Linked DNA regions of Elephas maximus indicus. The protein of the gene in region 3 interacts with the protein of the main gene of each other region in a pairwise test. Links are inferred from orthologs where the notes say so. Each region holds a gene or a part of one and is shown on either strand. Other genes may lie near its edges. The genes, in order: C21H16orf74, AKAP5 and PPP3CA.

What was found.
Region 1: the proteins of PPP3CA (region 3) and C21H16orf74 interact in binary tests that used the Homo sapiens proteins (3 or more experiments, as listed by UniProt). The two-hybrid records come from large-scale screens. The link is inferred for Elephas maximus indicus from reciprocal best matches to the Homo sapiens genes PPP3CA and C16orf74.
Region 2: the proteins of PPP3CA (region 3) and AKAP5 interact in binary tests that used the Homo sapiens proteins (3 or more experiments, as listed by UniProt). The link is inferred for Elephas maximus indicus from reciprocal best matches to the Homo sapiens genes PPP3CA and AKAP5.

Annotation. Positions count from the first base shown.
Region 1 is NC_064839.1:51,496,384-51,503,881, reverse strand, and holds the start of C21H16orf74 (uncharacterized protein C16orf74 homolog), read left to right. Parts: upstream 1-4,490; 5' UTR 4,491-4,566; intron 4,567-7,420; 5' UTR 7,421-7,438; coding exon 7,439-7,466; intron 7,467-7,498.
Region 2 is NC_064828.1:76,766,811-76,774,183, reverse strand, and holds the start of AKAP5 (A-kinase anchor protein 5), read right to left. Parts: upstream 3,030-7,373; 5' UTR 2,878-3,029; intron 1,806-2,877; exon of another isoform or gene 908-1,805; coding exon of another isoform or gene 880-907; intron 1-879. UniProt on the Homo sapiens protein: Multivalent scaffold protein that anchors the cAMP-dependent protein kinase/PKA to cytoskeletal and/or organelle-associated proteins, targeting the signal carried by cAMP to specific intracellular effectors.
Region 3 is NC_064823.1:51,533,458-51,541,291, forward strand, and holds the start of PPP3CA (protein phosphatase 3 catalytic subunit alpha), read left to right. Parts: upstream 1-4,755; 5' UTR 4,756-5,234; coding exon 5,235-5,292; intron 5,293-7,834. UniProt on the Homo sapiens protein: Calcium-dependent, calmodulin-stimulated protein phosphatase which plays an essential role in the transduction of intracellular Ca(2+)-mediated signals. Many of the substrates contain a PxIxIT motif and/or a LxVP motif.

The DNA.
Region 1 (7,498 bases), on a different chromosome or scaffold from region 3:
AAAGGCCTGGCAGTTGGCTTCCAAAAATCAGCCAATAAAAACCCTATGGATCACAATGATTTGATCCACAACTGATCAAGGGGATGGTACAGGACCAGGCACCATTTTGTTCTGTTGTGCATGGATTTGCCGTGAACTGGAGGTCTCCACCAGGTGGGGGCCGACTTGACCGCAGCTAGTGATAACAACGTGGCAGAAGCTAGAGCAATCTTCTAGGACCCCCAAATACAGATTCCCCCCCATAAAAATTATTAAGGTGTAATATACATAGGCACACATCAAACGTATACACCCACATCAAGAAGCAGGATGTTTCCAGCCCCCAGGAACACCTCCCCTGCAGCGTAAACATTTTTCATTGGCCTATACCCTTCAGAAAGGTGCATAAATCATATAAGCCTTGAGCTGCATGAATTGTCACACAGCGATCCCAAGGGGGCAGTGGGCAAGTGCTTTGCTGAGAGTCACATGGCCAATGGGTGGGTGGACCGTGGCTGGGCCCCAGGTGTCCCAGACCCTGCCCAGCAACAGAGATCAGGTGGGGGTTTCGGTGGGTGCCCACCCCACCCCCATCCTCTTTCACTTCCTGTCAGGCTATGGTGTGACTGTCCCAGCAGCTCCCCACCTCCCTGAGAGCAGCTTGCCTGGCTTGCAGTCTTGCAGCCCTGTGGGTGCCACTCCCGATTGCACTCTGTGTACTCATGTTAACACTTGAAGCATCCATGCACGGCTCCTTTGGCTGGAATTGCAGGAATCCTAATCCTGTTGCAGAAAGAACGTGCTTTTTCTAAAGAAGGAAGAACACCAAGATGTGCTGCGTGCTTGCTGGGAGCCCCGCATGGCTACCCTGTCAGTATTTCCTCCCTGTGTCTGCAGAGAGCTGAAGGAGTTTCCCTGACCTTGCACAGCTAGGGTGGAACCTGGTTCTGCCTGTTGAGTCCCCCCACCTAGACTAACTGTCACATTCTTCAGCTATGACTCTGCCCTTTCCTCCATCCTTAAAGGACGTCTTTGTTAAGGAGGTGAGGCTCATGGTGAATTATGAGCTCAGAGACTTACTGTGACTTCTTCTGGGAGGTGGTTCTACAGACATCAAGACTGGACTCCACTGCTCTCTCACTTTCCCTCCCTGGGCCTCCTCATCTGGGGAAGCCCAGGCCTTAAGAGATCAGACTACCTCTGCCTATGGTTGCCAGATGTAGCAAAGAAAAATACAGGATGCCAATTAAATTTGAATTGGAGATAAGCAAGATAATTTTTTTAGTGCGTGTCCCCATACAATAGTTGGGTAGCTTGTATTTTATCTGGCAACCCTAACTCTATGGGCGCTTCCAGCTCTAGAGTCAAATGATTCAGTCCAGGAGGGCTTCCTGCACACTCCCAGACCCCCACGATCCCCCAAAGTAGTAACTTTTCACCAGACATTGGAGTCAGAATTCTAAAAGCAAGGTCTGTGTCTTCAACAGGCTGTGCTAAAGCCTGGTTACTTCTCTCCTTGTACAAAGAGTTTTATTTTACAAAAATTTTAAATTTATATTGTTGCAAAATATGTATATATATTACACAACATTTGCCAATTCAGTGCTTTTCGTGTTGTGCAACCATCACCAATAGTTGTTGCCAAATTTTTCATCACCATAAACAGAAACTCAGGGCTTCCTAAACAATGACTCCGCTTTTTACCCCTCCCTCCCGCCCCTGGTAACCACAGGTAACCTTTAGTCTCTACACATTTGCCTATTCTAGCTTTTTCATATAAGCTCAGTCATACAATATTTGTCCTTTTGTGATTGACTTACTTCAGTCAACATAATGCCTTAAAGGTTCGTCCATGTCATCGTATGCGTTGGGACTTCATTTCTCTCTATGACTGGGTAATATTCTGTTGTGTGTATGTACCACATTTTGTTTATCCATTCATCTGTAAGAGTTTTCTTATTTTTCTTTTCTCTCTGCTTGGAAAACCTGTGGAGGTTGAGCTGTCTAGCAGTCACTGCTGCGGGCTGGCAGTCACTGCTGCGGGCTGGTAGTTGGCGGCCCCTATTTTCAAGGCTATTTTATAATTGTCCCTGTCACCCGAGATAGAATCTGAGGCCATTTGGCTTTAGAGAGATTATTCTGCCTGGGTGCAAGAACGAACCTGTTCTACTTCAAGCTGTTGTGCAAATAATTAACAATCTGATATTTGGAAGGGAACATAAACAGCCTGATTAAGTATGAAAGGGAGGTTTTTTACACTCCTGAGAACGTGTTTTTTTTTTTTTTTTTTGAGAACGTGTGAAAGGGAGAAAACACACCTAAACCAGCAGTTCTCAGGGGCCTCGTGGCTCCCAATGCCAAGCTAAGGGCGCCCCCTCCCATTAAATCTTCATCTTTTAATGACAAAAGTATGTAGTATTTTTGTGTGTAACAAACTGAATGTCTGTAGAACGGTGGCGTGTAGAACAACATAGCTGGAGGCGTAACTGTGGTGCTAATATGCTGCAGCTTACTAGCTGCGGACCCTTGGGAAGCTACTTGACTGGGGATGGTCGTAATGTGTATCTAGGAGGATATCGTTAGGGTTCCATGCTATCATTTTTATGATGCGCTTGACCCAGGACTTGACATATTAGAAGCATTAGGTTGATATCAGCTGTTGTCATCACGATGATGGGGTAAAAGTAGCACCACGCCCCATGGTTAGGAGTCTGATAGGGTTTCCACTCAGTGGGATGTAAAAGCCAGCTTTAACTCCTCCTTTCCAAAGCATCCCAAGCCAACCCAAGGGGTGCACTCTCCCTTGAAAGCATCTGCCATCTCTGCAGGGGGTGCCCTCCAGCCTGGCAGCCCCCCATCACAGACTGAGTGGACGAACTCCATCTACACTCTGAGTAAATCCATTCCTGGAGGACATTCTCCCACATAGAAGAGTTGGAACGGGAGCTGCAATGTGGACTTGGGGCCACACAGGGGGCATCCCGAGTGGTCTTCTAGACATGCTCAGTAGTAATACTACATTATTCACATTGTATGATGATGATTTTCTTAGTGTCCTGAAGCTGCCAAAACAAAGTACAGCAAACTCCTGTTGTTAGGTGCCTTCCCGTGGTTCCAGCTCATATTGACTGTGTGTACAACAGAAGGAGACACTGCCTGGTCCTGCACCATTCTCACAATTGTTGCTATGTTGGAGCCCATTGGTCAATCCATCTCCTTCAGGGTCTTCCTCTTTTTCACTGACCCTCTACTTTACCAAGCATGATGTCCTTCTGCAGGGACTGGTCCTTCCTGACCACAAACTGGGTGGCATTCAAGAACAGAAATTTATTCTCTCACAGTTCTGGAGGCCAGAGGTCCAAGTCCAGGGTGTCAGCAGGGCTGTGCCCTCTCTGAAGGCTCTAAGGGAGGCTCTTCTGGTAACCCTGGGCGATCCTTAGCTTGAGGCTGCAGCTTAACTCTATTGTCTTCCCTCTATCTCTCTTTTATAAGGACACCACTCAGCTTGGATTAGGACACACCCTGCTGTGGTATGACCTCATATTAAATGATAACATTTTCCAGGACCCTGTTTCCAAACCCAGTCACATTGACGAGTATAGGGGTTAGAATTTCAACATATCTTTTGAGGGGACACTATTTAATCCATCAGATGATGATGATGACAACACTGATGACTGTGTCTCAGGCCCTGTCCAGGCTGGTGGCATGGCATTTCACAGAGGAGGTCACTGTGCCTGGATTGGAAGTGTCTAAGGTCACACAACCCCTTTTTCCCCTAGGCCAATCCTTCTTCCTGGAGCCTGCCTTCTTCCTCTTGTCCTTGTGGGGAAATAGAATCACCATGAAAGTGACAGCAATATGTGTCGTGATGAGAAAACTCAGTTTTTGAAAATTCTCCATTTGGGAATTTTAAAAACCTGAAGTCGATTTGCAGTACATAGCCATGATCCCTTGGTGCCTGACCCTGGTGCAGCTTGTTGTCCCATTGATCACCTGAATCCAAGCTAGGGCCACTCCTGGTTCCCACCCAGTGCACCAGAGGTAGCTAAAAATAGGCCCAGAGATGTGGTTCAACCTGGCTCTTTTTTATTTTTATTTTTTGGCCCACAGTGTTTTGAGATGGGTGTTTAGGCATTTTTGAAGTTGTAAGACAGCTTTGGAGGTCAAAGACTATGGGTTCAGGATAACTTTTCAGGGATGCGGTGGTGCTTGGAGCGGCATATTAAGAACCTTACGTCTGCCAGGGTGGAAGGGAGTGCATCTCCCACTGTTTCAAGGAACGTTCTAGGAAAATGCCAAGGAGTTCCAGTCTGCCTGGTGGTGGAAAGTGTGGACTCTGGCATCAAAGTACTGAGTTCAAATCTCGACTCCACCACTTGCCACCTGTATGACCTGTGCTACTAGGAGATGTTAAAGCTGTGTTTCTCAGGATCTTTTTTTTTTTTTTTTTTCAGCCCAGAATGTTTTGAGATGGATATTTTTTAACCTATAAGGCAGCTTTTGGGGGCCCAAACCTATGAGCTCTGGGTAATTCTTCTGGGAAGTGGCACTGTACAAGTGTTTCACAAGCTGAGTTACCAACCAGTAAGTAACCTCTCTGTGTTGTCAGGAGGGATCAGTCTCTGGAGAAGGATATCATGCTTGGCAAAGTACAGGGTCAGCGGAAAAGAGGAAGACCCTCAATGAGGTGGATTGACACAGTGGTTGCAATGATGGGCTCAAGCATAACGATTGTAAGGGTGGTGCAGGACTGGGCACTGTTTCGTTCTGTTGTGCATGGGGTTGCTACGAGTCGGAACCAACTCGATGGCACCTAACAACAACAACAACAACCTCCATACCTCAATTTCCCCATCCGTGAAATGGGGATGGGAATGGCCCAACCTCATGGGGCTGCTGTGAGGATGAACTGACCATGGATACATGTGAAGGGCTAGGACAGGCCCAGTGCCTATAGAGCTCCAGAGGCAGAACTCTGATTCCCACAGACTCTTCCTGCCAGCCCTGGCCCCTCCTCTCCCCTTGAGGAAGGGTGCACTCCTGGGTGTCCCATCCTGCACATTACAATCACCGGGGAGCTGATTCTAAAAACCCTGGTGCCCAGGCCACACCTAGACCAAATACCCCGGAATCTCCGGGCGTGGGACCCAGGCATCGGTATTTTTTAAATACCGATGAAAAACTTTAGGAAATGGATAGTGGTGATGGCCGTATAACATGAATGAGATGAATGTCAATGAGCTGTATACATAAAAATGGTTGAAATGGAAACTGTTTTGTTATATATATATATTTACTGAAGGGAGCAGTGGTGCAGTAGTTAAAGCACTCAGCTGCTAACCAAAAGGTCGGCGGTTCAAACCCATCAGCCACTTGGAGGGAAAAAGATGTGGCAGTCTGTTTCCATAAAGGTTTACAGCCTTGGAAGCCCTATGGGGAAGTTCTACTGTATCCTACAAGGTCACTGAGTTGGAGTGGACTCGAAGGCAGTGGGTTTCTTTTTTTGGTTTATATACATACCACAGGAAACCCTGGTAGCACAGTGGTTAAAAGCTATGGCTGCTAACCAAAAAGTCGGCAGTTCGAATCCACCAGACGCTCCTTGGAAACTCTATGGGGCAGTTCTACTTTGTCCTGTAGAGTTGCTATGAGTCAGAATCGACTTGACAGCAATGGTTTGATTTGGTTTTTATACTTAACTGCAATTAAAAAAAAAAAAATGCTCCCCGGATGATTCCAGGTGCAGCGAGGGGCCATGCTCAGTGAATCAGTCGGGGTCTTGTTAAAATGCACATCATCTCTCTCCCCCTTTCCTCCCCCTACTCACTTTCTGTACCTGAATGCCCTGGTCAACCCAGCCCTACCCTTGCTCCCCAATCCTCCAGTCAACCTCCTAGTGGGTACCTCCAGTGGCACCTGCTACAGCCCCCAAAATCCAACATGGCTGAAATGGAAACCTTATTTAGTTCTTCCTTCAGACTGGCTGCTCCTGGCTGTCACCCCCACCTAGTCTGGCATATCCCCCAGACTCCCAGCTGCCAATCCCTTGGCAGCATCCCTGTCCTGTCATCTTCATGGTCAGGCTCTGTGATTCCTGGCCTGGACCAGAGCATCTCAGACCTCAAGGAGCACAGGGATCCCTGGGGGTCTTGTTAAAATGCAGGTTCTGGTCCTTTGGCCTGAGAGGCAGCATTGCTGACAAGCTCCTTGGGGTGCCAGTGGTGCTGCTGGGCCAGAACCAGAAGGGGTGGGCAGAAGCCTCCCTTAGGAGCCCTAGGATGGGCTGTGATAGCCAAGGAAGGTTTGGCAGGGCCATCGGGGTGTTCTTGGCCTGAGTCGCTAGTCTGGGGCATCTTGCACCTCCCAGCAACGGGCCTGCATTAGGTCCCTGCCACGCTCAGTTACCAGCTGGGGCAGCTGGAGGGAAACACAGCCTCCCTGTAAGCCAAGAAGCAATGGATCTCTGAGTTGAGTGGGGCCCCTAGTCATCACGTGGTTGTCACACGCCTGAGTCCAAGATCAGAGAGGTGCATCTTCACGGTCGCCCCCCACCCCTCTTTCCCAACCCAGCGTGTCATGGGCCTGGCTCACAGGTGGCTGTCCAGTTCTCTGTGATTCAAGGAATAACCTCAATGGCTCCCCTGTCAGCTCAAAGACGCTGGGACCCTCCAACATGGAAACAAGACCCCTCAAGAGTGAGGTTCCAGTATAGGGACAGGGCAGTACTGGGTCCGAATCCCAACTCCTCTTCTAGTTAGCTGCATGACCTTGGGTGGGTGATGTCACCTCTCTGCACCTTGATTTCCATGTCTGCAAAATGGGAACAGTCGAAGCACCTCCTAGGAGTAAATGTCACGGGCACGGATGGCGCTCCAGTGCTGTCAGATGTTATTTTATTTTCCATGTACTCAGCATGCTAGGGGTCGTCGTGTAGCAGAATTATTGTTGGGGACCTTGATTGGGTCATTAAGGTCTATGGGTTGAGGATCCAGCGGCTGTTATAGCTTAATCCCCAAGTGTCTGAGGGATCTGCATCTTACGAGAGGGGCAGTGGTGGTAGGGAAGAGGCGCTAAGACTGGTGGGCTTTGCCCCACTCCAAGGGTCCTCATAGTCCCTGGGGCTGCTCCCCAGGAAGGCTGCAGGGTTTTTGTCCCACATCATCAGCCCCGGCCACAGCCTCACCTTGAACTTTGCCCTCCCTGCAGCAGCGGCTGCCACACTTGCCTTCAGTATATTTAGCTTTGATGCACTTGAAAGTTTCCATCAGCCCAGACTTCCCTCTCTGAGGCCAGATGTAGTCAGTCAGCAGGCGCCGTGACCTCACAGCAGCCGGTGGTTTCTCTGGGCCACTATTTCCTGTTCTGCACCCATTAGGTGTGCAACGACACAAGTCACCCACACTGCCCGCCCCTCTCTGAATCTGTCCTCTCTCTGCAGGCTTGCAGGGGTGCCGACATGGGGCTTAAGCTGTCCTGCCTGAAAGGTAAGACGTGGGAGCTCCCCCACCAGTTCTTA
Region 2 (7,373 bases), on a different chromosome or scaffold from region 3:
AGCTCCAATTCAACCATGGATTGTGTTTCCAAAGCCCATTCTCTGAAGCACTGTGATAAACTGGGCTGTAAGATTTTCTTCAGAAGATGAATTGCTTGAAGATGCTAATCTATACTAGATACAAGTACTAGCTACATTAGTCAACGTTTTATGACATCGTTTGGTGGTCACTTAATTAACCTTAAAAACCTTACAGCTCAACAACTCATAATTGAACCAAGATTAGACGGTTCTTGCTATTTTAAAACCAAGTTTTTGAAATTCTTTATATTTTATTTTCTTGGTTCTGAAACTCATTTAAATCCAAATATAAATTGATAAACTATGCAGTTGGCAAATTGATTAGTTATATATAAATATAAAGGCACTTTTAAAAATAATTCACAAAATGGTATAACGATATCAAAGAGCAGAAATGTGAGGGGAAACTTTAATAAAAATCCTGCGAATTTTTGTTGATGGATGTACTTAAATAAAGGGCTTTTTCCTTGTACTATTTTTATTACTATTTTTTATGTAAGTCTCTCAGTGGTGAGCTTTGTTTTGTGTAGTCCTTCATTGTGTAAACTGGAGAAGGAACTGGAATCCTGAAAATCAGTTTATGATACAAGTAAATATTCTCTTAGTTTGGGTGTTTCATATTCCATGCCTCTGACAGTCATTCAGCTTAGAACAATGATGGACCTAAAATAAGAACATCTTATGTCCTCATGTAATGCCTCAGTAGGCACTAACTAGAACTGCAGCTGACTTTAGCTGTAAGTCTTCTCACCTCTTGTGAGTTCTCAGTGCCGGAGCGTTTTTATTAAGCAGGTGGTTTATTACTGATAGAAGTCATGAAATTAGATCATGTTCAGGAATTTTTTTTTTTTTTTTCAGGAATGCATCACTGGAAACTAACCTGTAATGGCCAAAGACAATTTCTGGACACGCTGTCTTGAATGTATATCACACTGCAGAAATAAAACAAATATCCAAACAGAAACCTAAGTGAAATGGGGGGGGGGGGTGCAGTTTGTAGACATCACAACTTTGCAGAATATGTTAGACTGCATATGATTCGCCCCTAACCTGCAAGGGTAGTTTTGTCACCTCAGGAAATCTGAAGAGCCTCTTCAGTCATTCCCTGACAACACCGCAAGTTTAATGCCACAGGAAACACCCACCTTCCCTTCATCCCGCTAGCGGAGAAGCACGGAGGCAAAGAGCAATCATTTCCTAAGGGAAGCAGCGAATCTTTCCCGGCACCAGATACGGACCCCGAAGCTTCCTCCTGGAGGAAGGACACTGTGGTAGGAGACAGCGCGCAGGGTAAAGTACTCAGAAAGGAAGGTGCTGGGGATGTGGAACAGACAACCCAGCTTCGAGCTATCTGCAACATTATAATGACCAGAAACTCAGGATCACATTTTCCCAAAAAAGGGTAAAGAAGGAAAAGAGCAACCGGCAACCTATGCTTTTCGACGAGGCGGAACGCCGAGGTGGGTGGGCAGCGCTGAGGGTCGCCTGGCTGGCAATTTCCTCGGTTCAGGCTCGGGGTTCCTCCTCGAGGGCCCGAATTCCCTTGTCCAGCGGGGCGGCTTCCGCCCAGTAGCGACCCCAGACACTGCCTGGGACCCTCCTCTGCCGCAGCCTCCCCGCCCCGCCTCTACTTACCGAGGGCGGCTGGGGTCCCTGGCCACCCTGCTCCCGAGGTCGGCGCGCGCGCGGGGCCGGGGGTCCAGGCAGCGGGCAGCCGCGGACAGGCGGGTGAGGGAGCGGCCGGCTGCACAGGGACCGCAGCCGGGCGGAGCCCCCTCCCCAGCCGCGCCAATGTGCGCGGAGCCGCGGGCGGGCGGGCGGGCGCGGGGCGGGGCCAGGGCGGGGGTGGGGGGCGGTGGCGCGGCGCTGCGGTGGGAGGGGCGGGGGGAGGAGGGGCGGGGGGGAGGTCCGGGGCCACCTGCGAACGGTGTGTCCTGCCACGTGGGAGCAGACCTTCGAGCTCCTAGCCCCGTCCCGAATCCCACTGCGGATCACATCAGGGCAAGGGCCAGGGGACCATAGAGAAACAGCAGGAAGATGGGGAAGGGGACGATAGTACTAAGTCCCTATTTTCTGAGACGCAAAATAGCGAAATCCAGCTTCAAATTATAGGCAGTACCGTTATAATCCACCCCCCTCCCCGAATATTTGAGGACACCCGACCCACTGCTGTAGTTCCCACTCACACCGGCCCTATGGGACGGATTAGAACTGCCCCATAGGATTTTCAGGGAGCGGCTGGTGGATTCCAACTGCTAATCTAATGGTTAGCAGTCGAACTCTTCACCACTGTGCCACCAGGGCTCCATTTAAGAACACTAAAAACCCGCTGCCCTTGAGTCGATTCCGACTCATAACGACCCTACAGGACAGAGTAGAACTGCCCCATAGGGTTTCCAAGGAGCAGCTGGTGGATTGAAACACCGTCCTTTTGGTTAGCAGCGGATCGCTTAACCACCGCACAACCAGGGCTCCTTTAAGAATTTGGTATGGGCTGTGTTTAAAAACACAGCCGATACTAAATTTTAAAAGCAGGGTTGGAAACTGTGCATAGAGATCCCGTTTGGGTAGAAAATGACATAGTATATTAACCAAAACAAACAAAACTTTCCCAGGAGTGGGTTTGAGTGTAATGAGGTAATTATCAAGGTTCACTGTCGGTCTCCCAGAAGCCCCAGGCCCAGACGCTAGTCTCCCGGGTCTAGGAGGTCACCTGCGTGCCTAAGAACGCTGTGATCTGCAGGAGTGTCTACATCCATGCTGACCAGGGCTGAAGGGCACAGGGACCCAGCCTGGTCTATCTTTTATACCTTAACATATTTCTAAGTTAAGTCGAGGTAGCTTGCGAGTACCCACGTTTTCCTTTAGGTCCCTCTAGGTGTCTGCTTTGTCAGGCTCTTCTCAATCAAGCTGCTTTCCTCACAACTCCACTCGCAGAGAAAGGCATCTACCTTCTGTCTGATTGGCGAGGTTGTGTATTTTCATGCATTTCCTGAGCCTTTTATCTAAATGAATTGCTGGCTACTTTGCAAAGCACCCCAAGTACTTATTATACACATAAAGTGTTAACTTATAGCCAATGAAAGATGTTGCTATGGGAGCTTAAGGTGAATTACTTTGGGTTTAATATTAACTGCAAGGGCATTCCTGAGCTGGAGCTGTGAGTTCCTGACAGATGCACCACACATATTCGAGGACAGAATGTTCCAGGAAGGGCCACAACTCCCGCCTCCTCCTCCAGCCCCCCTCTCAGCACACCATCCTGAAGATGAACCTATTAAAGTGGAGTGAAGAACGACTGGGCTTATTTCCATTCAATAGGATCATGATCTTTGGGTGGCTAAATCTGTGGACTTTCTACAGGATTATATTTTACCTTTCTGTAGTCTCCTTTGAGACTTACTGAGGAAAGAACTCAGGACACAAAAGCAAAGTGGAACCTAAATTGTCAAGCTCTTAAATTTACAGGTAGAAGTTAGACACAAGAGCTGTAATACAGGAAAATCTGTAAGCATCTGGTTTACTTGTAATTAAGAATTCAATTTAGCCTTGTTCATTTCACAAACACAAGTTGGTGAAAATATCCTTCATATCCTCAGGTGGGCTGCTAACCCTGCTGACTGCTAGTTTTGAACTTTAAACAAGCTAAAGGAAAACCATGCCATCCATAACCAATGGAGATGCCAATCCTAATTGAGAGCCAAGGTTTCTCAATTTAGCACACAAGGGAGTTGCCATTTCCAGACAAAAATAAGATGAGCTTATCTACATGAGGGGAAACCCTGGTGGTGTAGTGGTTATGTACTACGGCTGCTAACTAAGAGGTCACCAGTTCAAATTCGTCAGGCGCTCCTTGGAAACTCTATGGGGCAGTTCTACTCTGTCCTATAGGGTCGCTATGAGTCGGAATCGACTCGATGGCAGTGGGTTTGGTTTGGTTATCTACATGAGGAGAGGGCAGAATAGCTGTCTTACTAAGAGGTAATGGGAAATGAAACAAGGGACAGGTTAAAACAATAACGGCCACCTTAGCGACTTGTAGATCTTACTCCATTTGCCTTTCTTTAAAAAAAAATGCTGGGGAAAGGAACTGGAAATGGCTTTGAAATAAGACGTAATTTTTTTAGTCAAAGGGAATTTCTTTAAGGTATTTTACATACAGTTCATTGCTGCCTTCCACCACAGACACACACACTTACACACCAAGCCCACTGCCACTGAGTGGATTCCGAGTCATAGCAACCCTATACAACAGAGTAGAACTGTCCCATAGAGTTTCCGAGCAGCTGGTAGATTCGAACTGCTGACCTTTTGGTTAGCAGCTGAACGCTTAACCACTGTGCCACTAGGGCTTCACTTACATACAACGATTTTTCGTTAGGATGTGACTAGAACCCAATGCCGTATCTATGATGTTTTTCAAAATGTATCCAGTACCTCACACATGAAAGAAACCTGTCATTCCTGAACTCACTTAAGTGACAGGCTGTTTAAGCTATTACCCATATCGTTGTCTACTACTCCATTAGTAGCTTTTCATTATATAATGGGAAACAGGCTAGAAATATACCTCTCCAATTTGATGAGAAATTATCCTACCTACAGCTTATCTTGTTAATATCACCAGATACAGTGTTCCAATAAAATAGCTTGCATATTTATCTGAATAATACTGATCATACCATGTCTCCCCATCCTAGTCTCTACCCACCTACAGCCCAGGCCTGTAGCTACCAGAAGTGGTTTATTATTCCTTATTCACAATCCTTACATTTTAGAGAGAACCTTCTGGAAACAAACCCTCCAGCCCTTTTCCCATGCACACCATTAAGTGAACGTGTGACTCCAGTCCTCTCGTGGTTTGACCTGCTCATGGACACCGTGTGGGCACTGTCAGGGTTGCACCAGCTAACAAGAGCTCGACAGTAATTCTGCTGCCATCTGCTTTACAGCGAAGACACAAACGCTGTCTCTTTTGAATTGAGTATATATAAATCACCAACGCACAGCAAAAGCCATCTGAGGTGCAGCTTAAAGGAGCTCCCATCTGTTTATCAGTAATATTACTAATTAGGGGAGGGAAGCATTAGCAGCCCAGAGAAGGGTAGCAGATGCAGGAAGGCCAGTAATCTGGACTCCTAGCCCCCAGCTAAAGGTGCTGAATCTTCTCTGGCAACCCATACTAATAGATACCCCAGGCATTTATGCTTTTGTAGGTGTTTAATATAGGTCTTATTTTTTGTTTATGATCTTTTATTACGGAAATGGCGTCTGTAAGCTTGTGCTTGTGACACCTCTTCTTTATCAAAGATTGAGAAGTCATTTCCACAAAACTCATGCATGCCAGACAGATCAGCAGCCTCCCTAACCTCTTCATTTCTCTCCTCTGCTGCTCCTACCTTTTATCACCTCTTCCTTCTGAAGGGATGTGAAATGGGCACAGCTTTCCATCTCTCAAAAAATGGGAAGTCCATTTCAGTACAGCCTGGCCAGAAAGCATTCAAGGAAGAGCTGTGAGAGGCAGTATGATAGTAAAGAGCAGAGGCTTTGGAGTCAGATGAGGTGGAAACAAACCCCGGCTGAGGCAGGCAATAGCAATGCAATCTTGCAGTTTGCCTTTCTGTAAAATGGGGATATAAACCTAATTTACAGATTTGTTCTATTAATGCTTATTATCCCTACACACTTCCAACCAAAGGTCTGCTTCCATTTGGAAGCTAGAGGCCACCCTCTGAGCAATTTCATTGCTAGGAATTTATCCTATAAATTATTTATTATAGGATAAATTCCTTTGCTAGGATAGGAATTTATCCTATAATTTATTTCCACACAAAGTGAAAAGATACATATGAGAATATTCACTGCCACAGTATTTGTATTAGCAAAAAACATCAAACAATGGTGTCTATCGGTAGAGGACTGTTTAAATACTACGCAGTCATAAAGATCCACTGAAACGTGGATCTTTAACTGATGATGAAGTAAGATCTCCAAGATAAACTGCCAAGTGGAAAAAGCTGTACCATTTGGATTTGTACTGAAGGCATGTTTTACCTATACTTAGGAAAATTTTTGCATCGGTGATGGTGCATTCCTTCCAAGCAACAACTGATAAAAAGTTTGGAGTATTTATTCTATTAGGGCTTTGTTTATAATGTTTTGCTTATAAATGTCACTCTTCCCTTTTCTTCCAATTGTGCTCACCACTCTATCAGTATTATGGATTTAAATTCACATCGCTTTAGGGGGGATACAAGGACTACATCCTTTAAGATGAGGCATCTTTAACAGTCACTATGTCTGCCAGTAGACATGCTTCCTTCATGCATCTACAAACTGAATTCTCAGCAAATCCCATTCCAGATGAAGTTTTACAGAACATTTTAACAAATGTCAGAAATAATGAACTCTGCATTTCCGTGCGAACAGGACCCAAGTGATGCTTTGGATGTATCTGACAATACTGAGTGCTTACAATGTGCCAGGCACTGTGCAAATTGTCTTCGCTGGCTTGTTTCTTTATCTTCACAACCACCCTCATGAGGTGTTTATCAACAGTGCCCACACTTCCATGGGGAGGAAATGGAGGCAGAGAGATGAGTAAGGCTCTAAGCAGTAAAACCAGGCTCTGTACTACTCATGACCCCTTTGCCATACACCTCCGAAAGCACTGCTCCCATTCCTTTGGACTGTAAAAGTGACTGAACTACAACACTGATGTGAATCCAGAGGATTAAAAACAATAAAACCAAGGACACCAGGAAAAACATAATACATGCCAAGGTCAGTAGTGTTTAGCACTGGTACCCATGAGGATGCAATGTCCTCTGGAAGGATCTAAAGCAGGAAGACAAGGGGTTTGAAAAGAGAGTAAAAAAATGGGAGAGGAAAAACATACAGAGGATAAAGAACAAGAGGAGAAGAAGGGCTATTTGAGAAGAAATCTTCAGCAGGGAAGGGGAGAGCCCGGGCACACAGCAGAAGCTAAATAAATATTTGCTGAGCCAAAAGGGTAGAAAGGTTAGTGATACATAACTAAGTAAGGTTAGTGATATATGACCACTCTTCTTGGGAAATTTAAAAATAAACGGTGCAAAGTCTATTAATTTAAAAATAAAATACAGGAAATGGTGCTAAAGCTATGATAGAAAAGAGAGTTCCAAGGAAGGTCAGGACTAAAACCTGTATGAGCAACACTTCCTTGATGAAAATTAAAAAAAAAAAAACATAGGTATATGGCAAAAAGGCAAGTCCCCCTCTACACTCTACATCCATCCTAACCATCTCAGGTGGTCTCCTGACTATGGGCCCTCCCAGAAATATCCAAGCAGACACACGTTTTCCCCATAAAC
Region 3 (7,834 bases):
CCATCAGGACTGGCTGTCTACTCTGCAGGTTCTTCAGCATCATGGTCCAACAACTCAAGTGAAAATAGGTCAAACGTACTCCTGTCTACCACCAACTACTTAAAGCAAAGTGCATGTCTCAGGTGAGCCATACTCAGAAGTTATTATTCAACTCTTAATGTCCAAATGATAGTATATTCATCCAGGAACTGATAGAAATTCCAAAATTTTAAAAGCAAGTTCTTATCAAAACAGGATATAAATATAAATCCCTTATTGCTTTTCTTAAAAAAAAAAAAAAAGCCTCTGGGTCTAGGAGAGCACTTAATAGCAAACTAAAATGTTAATTTACTGTGATCTGTACCAATGGACGTAAGTTGCAACTTGTAGCATTTAAATCGACATATTACCCCAAATCCTGAATACTTTGTTTTTTTATACATATTTATTTTCATGACTAGTTTTGATGAAGCTAATAGTAACATTAGTTTGTATTCTCCAGTAGCAAGAGAAAGTAACACTTACACTTAAGTTTTTTCAAAGGTAATATGTATAATTCATATATAATAAGATTCTAAAATCATTGAATGAAGGGACTAAATCTTTGAATTTTTCTTTGTCCATACATTTATCCCTCATCTATTACAGTGCCTTGCACGGAACAGGTGTTTGAAACACAACCGGTGAATGAGTAACTCATTAACAGAAAATCACAGTCTGATGCTTATGCGTTAAAAAAAAAAAAAAAGAATATTTTTAGTTTTCTGGTAGTTCTATTAAATAATAATCGAACAATAAATTTGAATTTTGGAACTTATATAATAATTAGATAACATTTATATATTAATTTGTTTGGTAATACTAGCTACTATAACAAACACATTCCCACATTTTAATGGAGTAATATAATAAAAGTTTATTTCTTGTTCATGTAAAAGTCTAATGCAGGCTTTCCTCATAGATGGACAGCCTTCCTCCATGTGGTGAGTCAGGGACTTAGCTCTTTGCATCTCCTGGTCCTGCATGACCCCAAGCCTTGGAAGCCCCTGCATTCAGCTAGGCAATAGGGACCAATAGCCTGGAGAATGCTTATCTGTTGCATAACTGCCTTGATTTGCAAGTGATAAAACACTTCAGCCTGAACTAGTCACAGGGACCTACTTAGATGCAAGAGACAGCAGGCTGGGAAGTGGAATCCCTAGCTAGTCAGACACTTTCAAGAGAGAATTATTCTACGCTAAATTTTTTTTTTTTTTAAGGAAGTAGAAACTCTAATTTCTGGCAGACTGCAAGTTATCTTTTTCTTGGCAGTAATCTTTATCGAAGCAGATTACCACGTCTTTTTTTTCTCCGGTAGAGCTGCTGGTTGAGTTCAACCTGCCAGCCTTTTGGTTAGCAGCCCACTTAAACAAACAAATAACCAACCAACCAACCCAACAAACAAACCTTTGGCAGTAGAGTCAATTCTGACCCACAGCGACCCACAGGACAGAGTAGAACTGCCCCATAGGGTTTCAAAGGAGCAGCTGATAGATTCGAACTGCTGACCTTTCGGTTAGCAGCCATATATCACTTAACTAGCACTCCTTAACCTTATGCCATGATAACACGATCAAAGATTGCTTGGACAGTCTAGCAGAACAAAAACATGATCATAATAGATACCTGAATTAAAAAGATGATTTGGTTGTCTGTTTCAGCAGGCCAAGTATATAGACAAAACTAAAGCAAAAAAAAAAAACCGTTGCCATTGCGTCAATTCCGACTCATGGCAACCCTATCGGACATACTAGAACTTTCCCCTAGAAGCAGCTGGTAGATTTGAACTGCTGACATTTTCGCAAGCAGGTGAGTTCTTAACCACAATGCCACCAGGGCTCCGTGGACAAAATTAGTCCCTAGTTCATATACTACTGCTACTTTTCCTTAGAGCAGGGTCCAATTTTTTTTAATAAAGATGTGTCTGTGTTGCAACAGTTATGGAAGGATGCACAAAGGAAGTAAAAGTACTTGATGATAATAAGATGGGCTGTAAAGCGATTATGAGTCATCATTTTTTTTTTTTCCCCTACACATACCTCAAGTAGGAGCGTCCTAGAGTTGTAGTGGACTAAAGGGTGTGCCTGAAAGGTGTGCCTTCATTTCCTACCTATATCATAACACCTTTCTATGGTGCTGACACTTTAAGCCTTCTGATTTTGATTCAAAGGTGTTTTTCCTACACCTGGTGAATGTTAGTCCGAATAACAGTGGGCACAGCCTCTCTGTTGGCGTCCTGTGAAAGAGAATGTCTTGGCCTTGGAAGTGAGCATCCCTGGACACGGTTTTCTGCTCTTTCTCCAAGCAAGCCCTCTTCACCCACAGGCCTTGGCATCCCTCCCTCACTCTGTGCCATCTGGCGAGGGACCAACTCCCCAAATCTGCCTCAGCAACTAGCTCTGCCTGTGCTCAGGAGGCTGTTTTCAACAACCTCTCCATGAGGAGGTACAGTGGCGGCTCAGAGTTTATGTTTTCTTATTCTCTGAGAGTTGCAGTGAATCCTAGGATTTATTGAGGCCAAAGATAATTTTCTAATCATCCCCCTCCCCTAAACCAGTACCTACCACTGCGTCTGGCATAAAAAAGGAGCATGATGCACAGTTATTGAATGAATTGTCTGCCTATTACCACACACTATCCTGGGGTTAAAACCCTATGGGGCAGTTTTACTCTGTCCTATGGGGTTGCTATGAGTGTCAATCGACTAGACGGCAATTTTTTTTTTTAATCCTGGGGTTAAGAATTGGGCAACAGATTCTTGGGGCCAGTGGCAGCCTCCCTGTGCTGGTGGCACACACCCTGCATCAAGTCTCCTTTTGCTTGAAGGCCTTCGCAAAGGCTCATTGACCTTCTGACGTGTGCTCCAACTTCTTGCAGGCCACACCACTCAAGCTGCTCCAGCACCATCAGTTGGTTCCTAAAACTTTATTAGAAGTTTGGGCCTTAATCTAATCCATCTCCAAAAACTTTTTTTGTAGGCCACCTCCTACCTCCCTAAACCTTTTACCGGTCCCATTATACTAACGGTCCAATTCAGAAAATAGGAACAACCAGGTATTAAAGGAATTTGGAAGTAAAACAGGAAGGGTGGAGAGTGGTGTGAAATTTATGCAACTTTCATTACTCCCAAAGAAACTTCACCCTCTTTGCCTGGACTTGGGTGCTGAGTTGGTTTTGGTCAAGGAGAGAGGCTGTGCAGAGGTGACCTCTGGCAGAGGGAGACCCTCTCTTCAGATTCTGTGGCTCGAGGACAGCGGGTCAGAAAGCATTCCAACATTCCACCCTCCTGCGCCTTGCATCCTCTCCTTTGCTCTCCTTCCTAGGGGAGGGAACTGAGTGGGGATCTGCCTTGGGCTCCAAGGCCCTGCAGGCAAAGGGAGCACCAAGTGGGTGCCGGGTGATTGGAAACTGCAGGGAAGGAAGGTGTAGTGTCACCTGTCCCGACCAGTGGTTGCTTGCGTGTGCGAACAGGGGAAAGGCTACCCTTTCCAGTGTTTCTCCCGCCCCCCTCATTTCTCCCGGGAGACTGCAGGGCTGCCCGGGTGATTCGGAGTTGCCCGGAGTCGCTCGGACTCCCCTACCATTCTCCTTGGATAGCCCGCTCCAGCGTCCCTTAGTGCCCCGCACCCTCCGCCACGTCCCTGGTCCGCAACGTTCTGGAACCGCCACTTCCTCAGAAGGTGTGGATGCACCGGTGGTAAACAATAATAACTACAACAACGCCAACACCAAAGCCCCGATATAAAAAATAACTGTACACCTCTCACAGGGCGGAGCCCGTCTCCCCAAGGTAAGTTGTTTATTCGTCGTCGTTTTGGCGATCCTCCTTGGACAGCTGGGGCAGCGACAGCAGCTGCGCCAAAGGCCCTGGAGCTCCCCGAGCACTTCTTCCTCCGCCCTCTCACGTTTGCCTCTCGCCCCCACCCCTCCTCTCCTCTCCCTGCCTCCTCCTTCTTGCCCTCTCTCCGGCCACGCACACACTCGGAGACACCCTCGGCACTTGGCTACTCACACTGCGGCTGAACCCAGCCGACCAGGCACAGTTGCCAAAGCAGCGCGGGGGTGTATGCAGGGTTGACGGGCGGAGGCCAGACAGGGGTGGGGGTGGCACGGTAGAGCTCCTCTCCTCCCGGCCGCGACCCTTTGGCCATTCTCCTTCCCTAAGCCCAGCTGGCTAGCAATAGTGACACCTGAGCAGGGACTAGATGGTGGAGGTGGCAGGCCCACTGGACTGGCCGCCGGGAGAAAACAGAGAGGGGGCGGACACGGCGAGGAGGAGCAGGAGGCGGGAGGAGCCGAGAGGCAGCCACCAGGCAGTGAGTGACGCGCGCGTCAGCCAGTGCGCGCCTGGGACTCCGACGTGGGGGCGGGAGGCCGGGGACAGCCGGGGAGGAGGAGGTGGCTGCTGGGGAGCTAGAGGCGGGGGCCGAGAGGAGGAAGGGGAGGAGGCGGAGGCGGGCGCGGTGGCGGCAGCAGCGGCGGCGGCTGAGGGTAGGTTGCGCCGGGACTGTGTCTGCCGAGCTCCGCGGCTGTGCCTGTGTGAGTGAAGGAGTGGCGCGAGCAGGCAGAGGCGAGCGCGGGCGAGCGCGGCGACGGGACGTCTCCGGCAGCTGCGGCGGCGGCAGCGGCAGCGGCAGCAGAGGCGTCGCTCGGTGTGTGGAAGCAGCGGCAGCAGCAGCAGTAGAGGCGGCCGCCTCTCCGCCGCCGGGGACGCTGAGGCGCGGCTGGTGGCACTGACATCGGTGGCCCTGCCTCTCCTTCCTCGCCCCCGACCCTCCCCATGTGATCGGTCTTAATCCCGGCCGTGTGCGCGCGTGGGGCTCCATTCCGCGGTGCCCGGTCTCCGTGCCGGGTGGGTGCTTGTGTGTGCGTTCTCCTCCCCATCCCCCTTCCCCCAAGAATAAAAGAAGAACCGAGAGGCGTGCTTAGAAAATAAATAAATAACCACCACACACGCGCAGCCCGGAGCGGAGTCGGTGGGGCTGGAGGCGGCGGCGAAGGAGGAGTGAAGGCGGCGGCGGCGGCGGCGGCGGAGGAGGAGGAGGAGGAGGGACGCGCGGAGAAGGCAGTAACTTTAAAGCCAGCTCAGAGCCCAGACCTCCAGCCGAGCGGTTTGCAGCGCGGCAGCGGCGGCATTGAGTGTCTGGCCCGCCAGTCCGGTCGGGGTGTGCAGTCGGACGGACGAGCAGCGCGTCGCTGTCCCCCGGCGGCTGGAGATGTCCGAGCCTAAGGCAATTGATCCCAAGTTGTCGACGACCGACAGGGTGGTGAAAGGTAAGCGGCGCGCCGCGGTCGCCCGGGTGCACCGTGTGCCGCAGGCGCCCGGGTGGCTCGCCTCCCCTCCCCCGCCCGGGGTTCTCTCCCAGCTCTAGCCAGGGACCTTCTAGGATATTGTGCAACCCTCGAACCCCCTTCCCCCGCGGCAGCCTTCCACCGCGCCTCCCACCCAGCGCCGCCTGGGGCATTTTTATTTATGGGGGTGTCAACTGGCAAATGGCTGAGCCGTGGGGAGGCGGGGGTGGCGGTGGCGGTGGCGGGAGGGGGCGCCCGGGGGGTGGTTGCTGGTAGGGTGTAGCTGCTGTGACAGAAATAGGAAGTGGGTGGCTGCTCGCAGGCGTGCATGGGATCGGGTTTATGGTTTTCTTTTGCAGAGGGAGGGGTGATTTATGGCTTTTTAAACATTAATATGGCATTTTTATGTGGCCGTGGCTTTCCACCGACTGCCTTGCTCGGGAAGTGTTTTCTCGGCGCTTCATTGCAGCAATTCCCTCCGCGCCCCCTCCCCCTCCCCTCTGGAAGGGCCTGCACAGGACTCGCGAGAGAGCGGGAGAGCGTGGGGGGTGCCCGGCGCTTCCTCCCGCGCCAGGCGGGGGCGGCAGCCAGGAGGTGGGTAGCAGAGGGGGCGCGCTGAGGGTGCAGGAGGCGGGGGACGGCCCGAGAGTCCCCGCCGCCACGGGATTTCCCCACACGCCAGATGAAAGACTTGAATAGCAGTTCTTAGACTTCCCTTGTCGCCCCTAGCCGCCCCCGACGACCTGTCACCGGTCTTGAAGGGGTGCCCGTTCGCTAGTGCACACCTTCCCAGCGGGAACCTCGCCCCGGTCGCCTCCTCCGTGTCCCTGGCACCCCCGTTGTAATGGGCTCTTCGATTTGTATTATTGTGTCTTCTCTCCCGCCACAGGGTTATATACTAGTGGGGATGGCTCTGGGCTTTTTAGGGTGGAGAAACCTGAATGCGTGGGGCAGGCAGTGGTCGCCCTCTGATTATTGCACGAGGGAATCCTCTGTCCTCTCTGTGTTCCGGATTGGAGTGGGGGAGGAACCACCCTGTGAATCCTGGAAGGACGAGAGAACAGAGCAAATTCAGCAGGATGAAGTAGTATCCATCCTTCCTGGGGTCAGGACCAAGCAAAGCAGGAATGGGCATTGGCTGTGCACCGAGCGGGACCTCTGAAATTGCAAACAGGCATCTTAGGCTGGTGTGAGTGTGTGTGTGTTTGGAACAGGGGTAGTACCTGGTGTGGCCAGAGCATCTAATGGGGCCAGGGGTAGTATCTAATGTGGCTATAAGGTCATTTGAACCATGAACCATTTGAGCCTTGAGCACTTGATGTGAAGTAACCCAGTAGGATGAAGACCATGATTACTAAACAAAAGTCCATGTGGGGGGCGGTTCAGAAATGTTCCTCGCTCCATAGAGATTTGCCCAGTTTTTTAAGTTTTTTTTTTTTCTTCATTATGGTGGTACTGGTGATGGGGGAAATTGTGTCCTTTTTTTTTTTTTTTTTTGAGAGAAAAAAGAAAAGAGAATATTTTAGTTATATTAGAACCATTCCTGCCTTCCACCCAGTATTCATTGACCCATTAAAATAACGAAGAAATAGCTCTGCACATGGCTTGAAATAAGACTACTGATACACAACTATTATTTTTTATGCATGCATATATCCTCACGTGAAGAGTCAGTTCAAATTCATTAAAACGGCTGCATTTTCTATCAGTGGCTTCTGTTGCCATTTTCAAAAATTAAGATTTTTTCTGAAATATGAGAAAATAAAATGTATTTCCCTGATGTGTGAAGTGTAGATGTAGCTCCAATCTGTATATTAAGGGCACCTATTTTCATAACAAATTAATGTGAAGCTTATAATTCAAATGATAGCAATAAACATGTTGGCAATTAAAAAACACTTGGTGTGCATACATAAGGTCACATTCCCTGTTTTAAATCACAAAATGTGAATTCTTAGTGTAAACATAAAATTGTCATCAAGTGAAAAATGAAAAAATAATTGTCTATACATTGTGGCTTGGTGCCTTTACAAGTTAATTAGATAGCTGATGTTTCGTCTTGTGTTTTTCAAGACTATATTATTATAAGTTCTAAAAACTTTAGTTTACATATTTTGCAGAACTGAAATACAAATGTGCGTATACACTCAAAATAGGAAAACTTGTTTTTACACTTGTTTTGATAGGAATCCTTATGTGAAATTTTGGTTATAGAAAAAAGTTTTGTTGATGAGTCGTGATTTTAAGGTGAGCACACTGCTACTCTTTCTCTTCTGCTTTCTTACAGACTTTGTATTGTCAGCTTAAAAAGCATTATCAAAGGTTGGTTTTAACATTTTGTCATACATATAAAACCCAGTGCATATAGTTTATACAATTAATTATTAGGGATGGTAATCGAGTTTGAGTATCAGTCTTCTAAGAAATAACATATTCACTTGAATATATGTGTTTAATGGAAAATATGTTACTAAATGATTTTTCATATTTGCAAAAAGTGGATAACACAGACTTCACCAAACCC